Drosophila melanogaster: one gene and its partners. The protein of the gene in region 3 interacts with the protein of the main gene of each other region in a pairwise test. Each region holds a gene or a part of one and is shown on either strand. Other genes may lie near its edges.

Evidence for each region.
Region 1: the proteins of CG14315 (region 3) and CG6683 interact in a two-hybrid assay, tested with the Drosophila melanogaster proteins (one large-scale study listed by BioGRID).
Region 2: the proteins of CG14315 (region 3) and Obp18a interact in a two-hybrid assay, tested with the Drosophila melanogaster proteins (one large-scale study listed by BioGRID).

What each region holds. Positions count from the first base shown.
Region 1 is NT_037436.4:8,513,308-8,516,841, forward strand, and holds CG6683 (uncharacterized protein), read right to left. Parts: upstream 1,615-3,534; 5' UTR 1,541-1,614; coding exon 1,393-1,540; intron 1,335-1,392; coding exon 889-1,334; 3' UTR 567-888; downstream 1-566. Other genes in the region: CG6765 (uncharacterized protein), read left to right, coding at 1,782-1,858, 2,077-3,143, 3,206-3,534.
Region 2 is NC_004354.4:19,134,453-19,137,684, forward strand, and holds Obp18a (Odorant-binding protein 18a), read right to left. Parts: upstream 1,417-3,232; 5' UTR 1,392-1,416; coding exon 1,341-1,391; intron 1,287-1,340; coding exon 951-1,286; 3' UTR 629-950; downstream 1-628.
Region 3 is NT_033777.3:18,156,695-18,160,111, reverse strand, and holds CG14315 (uncharacterized protein), read right to left. Parts: upstream 1,412-3,417; 5' UTR 1,343-1,411; coding exon 689-1,342; 3' UTR 641-688; downstream 1-640.

The DNA of each region.
Region 1 (3,534 bases), on a different chromosome or scaffold from region 3:
TATAGTGGCTTAGTGCGTCGGAGGGTTCACCATGTACGTGTGAAGTAAGGGGGACTCAGTCGGTACGAGGGGGTAGTGGTAGTGTGGCATCAGTCGTTAAGGGTGCACGACGCTCCTCGCTCGTTATGTTTTTGTTTCGGCCCACTGCTCCCCCTGCGGCAGTCGTCAAATTAATAAACTAAATGCTTGTTTTGGCGTCGTCGTCGCCCTGTCCCCGTGCTGGAGGCCTTCCCCCGATCCGATCCAGACATGGATATTGGACATGTTATTGCTTGCGCGCGCATTCTTTGACTCTTTGACCAGTTCCCAGCAGCAGCTGCGTCATAGTAGGAGTTTTTTGGCGTGGCTCAATTCGATTTTCCCTCGCCTACTCCACCTGCTCCCCGCCCGCCTGTTCAAAGTTGGCTTTTGCCACACAGATAGCTTCCTACTGCATTACTATACACTCCCGCAAGTCTCTGGCTCTATAAATGACCTCTGGCGACAATTGATGCTTTGTTTGGGGTTTACCAGTTGTCTTGAATTTTAAATTGCTAATCTTAAGCCTCAAATAAAATAAACTATTTAATCACAGGCGTGTTAATGTTTTATCATATCATACAATGCAATAGTTAGTTTGTATAGTAAACTTCATTAGATGCGAAGATTAGGTTAAATGAATGGATTAACAATATTTTTTAGGGAAGCATACATTTGGAAAAAGAAGTTATTTAGTATTCGCTTAAGATAATTGTCCAGATATATAAACTATAACAAAAATGACTTAATTATTAAACAATTATATGATCAGTGATGTTTGCTACTTTTGATATCCTATCACGGCATGTATGTATTTAACTTATCATCATGGCAATCTTCCTTTATAACTATATCATCTTGGCAATCTTCCTAAATAACTATATCATCGATTTGCTCGTCGTTCAGGGCGCGCAGATTGCATTTGCATAGGTAGGCCAGAATGCGTTTCTCCGCCTTAATTCGGTTTGCTTCGCCCAGTCCTTCAAGCAGGGCTTCTATCCTCTTTTCTGCTTGAGCCACTGGCGTTGCATGGGCAGGATTTGTGGGTGGTGCTGGTGCAGCTCCCGCAACGGCCAGCTGCTCATCCATGGCCTCCTGGAGCGGATCCTCATCATCGTTGACCTCGTCGCTGGATTTCAGTGTGCTCCTACTCAGATCACCCGAATTTCGGTGATTAATCGGATGGTGGTGATGCTGCAGGAATTTCAAATGCGGCAGAAGACTCCAATCGGAGCCAGTGCCTCCGGCCTTTTCTTTGGCCAGCTCCCGACGCTGTTTGGCCACCAGATGATTCCAACGACTGACACAGGCACTAGCTAAGTTAAAATATAATGAGGAATTAGGGAATATTTATACAATTTATCAGTTTCTTACCTTCTGAATTTAATGAAGTGGCGATGCTGCTCCAGATTTCCGGATGTCGCTTCTTATGCGCTTCGTAGGGTGCGTTTCTAAGTTCGCGCTCATAAAGCTTGGGATTAGCCCTAACCAGCTCAATAAGTCGCGTGTCGAACTGCGACATTTTGATATTTTCAAAATAAACACAAATGAAAATATGTAAACAAATGGAAGCTAGCGAATAAGTATGACCGTTGCTTCGTGTGAGAAATATGCTGTCACAAGAGCATGGTGGCTAAACCCTCTATTCACCACTCCTTGGGTGGTGTGGTGGGATCGGGAGATTCAAAATAAACACCCCACTGGCGGCATTTATTGATTTATTTATTGATTTTATCGTTGTACAGGAGCTGCCGGCCGCAGAGATGGCCGCCGAAAACTATCACCTTAAGTGGGACTCACACCTCACCTATCTTAACTCTTCCATAGCCACACTTTATAAGTAAGTACCACTGTACCATAGTTGGTACATATTTGAAGTTTTTTGTTTTTTGTAATTGTGATCTAGCAGCGTTTTTAATTGTTTAATGTTAAAAACATTAAATGTATCAGGGTCAGAGGATTAAACACACATTTTCTAAGAACCCTTCTTCAATATTCTCCAAGAGTACTACAAAATACGTAGATATGCTATATTAACGCATCATATTTCCCCTTTAGGAACGAAAAGTTCGCCGATGTGGTTCTGTACAGCTCCTACAACAGCAGCGGCATCCCCTCGGATATACCCACAGTGGGCATCTCGGCCCACAAGTTCATCCTGAGTGCTTCGTCCCAGTTCTTCGCCACCATGTTCGAAACGGCACCGATCACCAATCCCAATGGAGTGCTGTATGTGGTCCTGCCGCCGGATCTTAGCCATCGCGCCATCCAGATCCTGGTTCAGTACATGTACAGCGGCGAGGCCACAGTTTCCAACGACATACTTAACGAGGTCCTGCGCGGCGGTGAGATCCTCAAGATCCGTGGCCTCTGCCGCACCAGCTCTTCCAATGGCGGTGGATCCGGCTCAGTGGTCACGACCACACATCATCCCCATTCACTGGCCGGGCATCTGCATCCGCGAGAGGCTAGCACCATGTACATGTCGAATGGCACTCGAACCGCTTTGCCGCCCCCTCCGCCGCCGCCACAATCAACCATGTCGGCGCAACTTCAGGGAGATCTATATGCCAGCAAGCCGGGTGGATCGACACGTTTCGCTTTGGATCACCACCACCTGTCGTCACACCACAGCCACCTGAATCACCATAATCCCCAGCAGCAGTTTCGTGGACTTGGTGCCTCCGTGATGCCCAAGGACTCGCCTGTGATCATTAAGTCACCCAAATTGGCCGCCCACACAGGACTACTAACCGTCGCGAGCAGCAGCAAGTTGGGCATTTCCGTCAACAAGGAGGTGGCCATCGATCCGGAGGACAAATGCTGTTTCGCGGCACCCGGTCAGTTGGAGTCGCAGTCTCACCCACCACCACCAACCACCACAACGACAACAGTAGGAGGAGGAGGAGGATCAGTTGGAGGTTCAGGTGCCCCGCCATCGCAGCCCATTTCCATTTGCACGGAGGTGGGCTGCAGCAGTTGTCCCCTGACCGCCGGACCAGGTGCTGACCAAGCGGAGACCACGCTGCGGCGGACAGAGTACGAGGAGCAGGCACTTCGTGAGCGGAACGAGGTGGGCCTGGTCTTCGAGCGACGTCTGAGGAGGGAGAGCGCATGCGAAAGATGTGAGTAAGAGTACTCAGCACAGCTGCTAATGATGACTAATCCCATGTTTTATTCCCCTCAGCTCGGGACTACTATGAAGCACCACACTTTGAGCACGTGGTATCCTCTCGCCTGGCAGCCACACCTCCGCCACCACCACAGCAGGCACCACCATCACATCCGCCGACCCTTCGACATCCGCACAACTTCCTCACCATCAAACAGGAGCCGACCGACTGGAGCAACAACCCACCAAACGCCTCCAGTGCGTCCAACAACAACAATCTGGAGGAGTTGCCATTGGCTTCGCCCAAGCAGCCACTCGACTTCAAGATGTCCGCCGTGAAGCTGGAGGTGAATAGGGATCGCGGAACACCCTCCGAGGAGAGCGAGGAGCACACGCTGCGCGAC
Region 2 (3,232 bases), on a different chromosome or scaffold from region 3:
CATATAAGCAGTATTGCCAGTAACCCGTAACCAGTAACCAGTGACTCGGCGGCTTTCTTGATGATTGGCTAGCAAAAAGTTTTTGTGGCAGCCGCAATGTCGCCCAAGGAGTTCGTGTGCCATGTCCTGCGTCCTGCGTCCTGCGTCTTTCGTCCTGTGTACTATGTACTGTGTCCTTTGCACTCGACTGCGCTGAGTCGAGTTAATGAAAGGCCAAGTCAAATGCCTCACTGATTGCATTGACATCCTTCTGGCCCTTTTTGGCCCTCTTGGCCCAAAATGTATTTGGCCAAACTTTACGTATGATTTGCTGGGAAAATTGAAATTTGCCCTGCATCCTGTGGGGTCGACTGGGATTCATTATTACGTCCACACATCCGCCCCATCAAGTCGGTTCTGCAGTTCACAGTCTGCGATTTGCATTTCAATTATGTTCAAATTGCATCTTCCATATCTGCCATTTCAAATATTATTCAAGCAGGGGGAAAATTTTGTGTTTGGCTTCCCAGTCCACCCATATATGTACATATGTACATGCATACATACATATTTGGTCAGCAAACTGAAATTTTCTGTTATTTATTTGGCCATGTTTCTTGCGAATTTTCGGAAAATAAAGACTCTGATTGACTTATTATTGCATTATGTATTTCCACCAGTTCTACGTTACTTTGCATAAAACAAATCAATAAAAAGCAGACGAGTTTAAAACAATGCATGTCTACTATTTTGCTCTAATACAATTATTAATCACTGTATACAAATAATAATAATGAAAATCACACTTATACTAAGCACAATCGTGTGTAATTTCCATTAGAGGGCGTTTGATCTGATTAGAAGACTCAACAATGAACTGTGATGAAGCCCATTGTGTCTGTCATGTGTGTGTACATATATGTATGTAGTAATGTATATATGTATACTTTATTTTTTGTTTATTTGGTAAATTACGAGGCGATAGTTCCACTCTGCTTGCCCTTAAAATAACACTGGAGAATCAGGTATGGATAGTCGCACGTGTCCAGATTGGTGACGCCATCGAACTGCTGCTTACACTGGGACAAAATCACGTGGTCCTCTTGAGATCCTCGCTTTCCCACCTTCTGCAGATCGATTTTCCCATCATCACCGAAATAATCCTGGATCAGACACCGGCTATAGCACTTAACGGCCACTGGAACATCCGCAACGGGAGTGGATGGAGCCACTGCCTGCACTTGGGCACTGGTCAGATTGTGGTGCTTTAGGCAACCCTCTGCGTTAACGCGGCCAGCTGATTGCCACTAGAATAGATGGTATTGTTAGATGGACACATAACTATTTCGTTAAGAACTGACCATAGTTATCAAGCAAATCCATAGTACAGCTATGCTGCACACAACCTTCATGGCGAAAATCTGTTTCCCAACTAACAATGAGCGCATCATCACAGCTCTATATATATAACCCATCGATTTGCTAATTCAGCTCAAAAGTAGACAGGAGATTTTAATTAAATAATTGGATGCTACTTTACATTCGCCACACACCAACAAATAAAGTCTATAATTGAAATTTTAAGCGCAGTTCCCGATTATGAGCTACACGTATGTCGTATGCGCAATATCTGCATTACAATTGCCAATAGTAAATTACCAACTTGGTTTTCTTCATATTTATTAAGATAGAAAACATACAATTTTTGGCTTTTACACTCCAAGCATCTCTGAAGTTTAAACAAAAAACATATGTGTAGCCTATCTACTGTATTGGACTTTATTCGTATATTTTATATGGTTCATTAATATAGGTATAAATACAAATTATATTCACGCTTTGCGATTTGCAGCGAATATCACATCTTATACACGATGTAAAAAAAAAAAAAATATTTCGTCATGTTTTTAGGTTGGCCGCAGGCAGTGCTCACTGTACCGCCACAATGTTTATCGTTTTGCATTTTTTTTTTCTTTGTTTTCTTGCGGTTTCCCCTAATTATCTTTAGTATAAACTTAGTCTACTGTCTTTTTTGGTAAGTATTTTCGTGATGGGCTCGTCTATGCGAATTCCCATTTCCAATGAATAAATAAAGTAATTAGAACATTAAAATTAGCAATAAAACACGTACATTTAAAGCTGACAACAAAAAAAAAAAGTATTCTTATGTTAAACTGTAGTATGTGCCTATGCAATATTAAGAACAATTAAATAAAATAGCATATTAACTTATGGCAGCACTTTGTTGCTATGTTTATGTTTATGTTTATGCACGCAGTTAGGCCAGGGCGGATGTAACATGATCACCCACTCGAAGGCAAAAAGTATAAGTGCATGGTCAGCATTCACACGCCGACCAAATACATATTACATACGTACATACATATCTCGCTCTCCCGATAAGCCTAGATATATAAGATATACATAAGAACGCCGCTCCGCTGCTGGCGTACCCGGCAGCGCAGCTACGCGGATTAGCCTAAGTCCAAATATATTAAAAACTGTAAAATCAGAGAGACTCTGTAGACGTTGAGCTGACAGAACCATTTCTGCCTACTCTAAAATCAAAAGAAGAAATTGAATAAATATATGTCAGCCCGACGGCTGCCTTCAACTTAAAACGGACTTGTGTTCTGAATTGGAGTTCATCATTACATGGCGACCGTGACAGTCGTCCAACGCTGGACGAATTGACCAAAGCTGGTGAAAACAAAGGAACAAAGGAACACTGGACTGGAAGAAGACTGGACTAATTAAATGGAACTGCAAAAACCAAGGAAAAATCTGAGTGAGTAGAGTTCTATTGAGTATGGGCAAACACCGTGGCGGTTTGAAAACTAAGCTGAATAAACGTATAGCCCACGTAAGGTGGCTAATATACGGTCAGCAAACGCCACCGGTTTGGTCGAAAGCTCTAAAGCTACATGCAGAGCTAGACCACTTGTTGCAATATCAGCAAGAATTAAAGACCCATAAGCTCGAGAAAACTCACTCAGATAATATTAAAAATATACCCACAATTAATGAAGTTCCAAAATACCAGGCATGTCCAGCACCAGCACCAGCATTAACAAAACCAAAGAAGTCCTGCCCCCCTGGCTGCGAAGGAATCTGGAGTCCCCACTGCCTGGGGACTTGTGAGCGACCATCGACGTCTTCAGCGGCGAAGAAATAGACAGCAGCGAGGGAGTGTCAGCGTGCCACCCCCGGCGACGCCCAGCTGACACCTGATGAGCATCATCAACAGCAGAAT
Region 3 (3,417 bases):
TACTTAATAAGAGTGTGAAATTGATTTGTTTATACAAAAGCATGGCAGCAATAATCATATTATTAAAATAACCCCGAAAAGTAGGCCATAGTATTAGCTTCACCTGGCCAAACTTTTTGATCCACCGAAGTTTGTGAGTTTATAAAACTAATTCTAAACATTCAGACTTTCTAATCATATTGCATAGTTTATGAGAGGCATAAGGACATCCTTGGTCTGGTCTAGAAATAGCCTTGAATGTGTCCACATGTCATGTGGACCAGTTTTTTTTTATGAATGAAAAAAGCACCACACCCAGGAGCACCGGGGCAATGCTTCACCTTGCTCTTGACTGCCGCTTTGCCCCAAACATCATAGTACATATATCGATTGTTCGCTTTAACTTTGGACCTGCGCACTAGCAGATACAGATACTCGTACCAAGATACATAGATACTATAGATACGCGTACTTATGTAGATGTTTTGGCCCCAGCTGCTTATCACTGGCACATTGACGACAATGAGCTTTATATGATGCAGAGACCGAACTGTTGCTTCCCACTGACGTCATGGGAATGCTGATGATTAGGGTTTCTTGCACCGAATGTAACCAAAATCCAAAGGCTGCATAATCACCGAGAAAAGCGATGCGAAGTTTTGTTTATCATGTAATTTGTAGTTGTATAAATGAAGTTAATGATAAAATATCAGATATCTGTGACTCCACTGTGGGTAAAGTCCTGAAACCAGTCGAACTGCTCCAGCCAGCGTTGCATCACGCCGCCAAAGACGTACAGACGCACTGGAACGTAGTCGACCTCTTCGTTCACATCGTCGGAGGAATTGGATGACTCGCGTTCGTTATCCGAATCGTCATTCGACAGAAGGACATCCAACGCAATGAGGCAGTGCAGCAGATAGATAACACTGGACACCAATGAGGCTGTCGCCTGGTCCCGCAGGCTACCGAAGAACGGATGGAGCGGCTTCTCCGGATATAGTAAATCATCCGGGTTCCTTCCATCATACCATATATAGAAATCCGTCTCGGCATCGCCCAGTGCCATCAACGATATTACCGTATATAGAACAAATCCGATCAGAGGACGCACAACTTCCTCAACGATCGATGTGCGATGACCGGTGCAGAGATTTATGCTGGCAAAGAGCGTTACCACTGTGAATATGTAAAAGAAGGACATATAAAAGCTTTGGATTAGAACATCTTCCCATTTCATCGTTGTCAGATTGACGAAAACAAATGCTTTCAGTTGGTAGTACAAAACGAATAAGTTGGCCGTCGTCTCCACCATGTAGAAGAGAAAGAGCACCGGGCGCATTTGATACAAGTAGACCCTCATTTCTGCAGTCGCTTCGAACGCTTGACAAAACTAACTACAATAAGTCTGTGCGACAGGTGTACTATGTTTGAAGTGAAACGCTTTAATTCCAGCTCAAAAATTAAAAAAAAAAAAAAATAACAGAATATGTAGAGCCAGGAACTAAGCTCAAGTCAATTTGGTCAAAAAGATTTGGCTAAAACTACATAAGCGGCCCAAACGAATGGTCAAAACGAACTGACTAAGATGAAAGACCAAAACGAAATAACCAAAGCAAGACAAAAACGAAATGATATAACGAAATTAATGGCCAAAACCGAATGACCAATACGAAATGGACAAAATGCCATAACCTAAAGCAAATGGTCAAAAATGGTCAAATGATCAAACGGAAGGAGCAAAGCGAGGTAGTTTCGAAAGAGCTTCATTCTACTAATTTACAATTTAATTCAGATTCTTGAAAATATGTTCATTTATAAGAGTCAAAACAGTTAAAACAAATAAGAAATGTATAGGCCATAGGTCTGCTACAATTTGTTAATGGTTTACATTCTGCCCAAAGGGTTTCCACAAAATGCACTTTGTACCCGGAATGTACATATGTATGTACATACATATATGTAGTTCCCATTAGCGAACTCGAAAGACACGCTTTTGTTGTAGCCTCGGTTTCTTTCTCGGATGGAAAGTGCTGCTTTGGGCTCGGCTCATCTCGTCTGATCATAAAAAACCACTTCACTGCGGCGGTTGGTGCTTCTGTTGCTTCGTTTGCTTCTGTTGGCCGGACGGACTGCGTCTGGAAACAGTAGCAACATTTGCCTGCCAGTTTGATGCTGTTGACTGCTGTTGACGGCGATTACGTTGATGACGCGCAGACCGCAACGAATTTACGCGCAATTCTCCACCGTGCTCCAAACTTCAAGCTCCAAGCTTCAGATTCGGCTCCAGCTCCAGCTTCATCTGAAGTGGCTACGGGGTGGGGGTAAGCATTTAAATAAATGTTTGTACACACGAGCCGCTCATGAAACGCCAAAAAGTTAGTACACTTGTACAGGAACAATTGAATTTTGGATGTAATATTTAATTATGTACTTTGGTCAAATAGATTGGTGTAATCATAGGACCTAAGCTAACTTTTGATTTTTAACTTATGCAAGTTCAAATACTGGTTGCACTTTTATACATACTTTCCTTTCATATTAATCAATGGCTATAAATGCAATGCTACATTCGTTTTTTTATATATATATTTGAGTTCAATGACCTTTAGGAAATTGAGATAAGTTGGCAGTACCCTGCGAATGCTCCGACGATGCGAATCGATAAAAAGTAATAAGTAATAAGTAATCGATATCCTTAGCGCCGTGTATTCCCAAGTTTCCGCGCAATTGTGTTATTTATTTATTTTTTAGTTTAAATCGCGTGATTTTGTGTCGAATATTTTTCCGAGGGTGTAGCTTAATCCGTGTGTTGGGCAAAAAACTACAAGAACGGCCAGAAAAATCACAAAGCCCTGTCTGCTATTGTTGTTGTAGCCACTGTATTGCCTGTTGCAAGCACATGTGTGTGTGTGTGTTTGTGCAAAGTAAAAGGGTTAATTCATTTAACCATTTCGACTGCGTCATCTCTTTGTGGCTTCTTAACATAAAAAAGGCTGAATGCTGCTGCAATTTTGACAAGCGAACGCACCGCATTTTAGCGACTTTAAGTGCAACAACAAAAGAGGGCAGCTGCTCCTTACGTACATAAATACATATATGTATGTACATATGTATGTATGTACCTGTGTACACATTTTATCTTTATTTTTTTCCCGCTTGAGATTCCAGGGATCGCACAGTAGTCACTTGCGACTTTTTCAAGTTGAACTTAAGCACGCGAGCCCTGCCCAAAACAAAAAAAAAACTAGCAAATTTATTTATTTATCCGATTTTGTAAGATCAGCAGAAGGATCTTCTGTCTCGTTTTTGTCGCGGCCGCCATATTGAAGTTTGCGCGTGTGCGTGCGTCCGTGTGTGTCCAACTAGACTGCAAAGTCCAATTGGAAAATCTAATTGGTAATGTTTAGAAATCCAAATATTTGTATTTGCATCAAG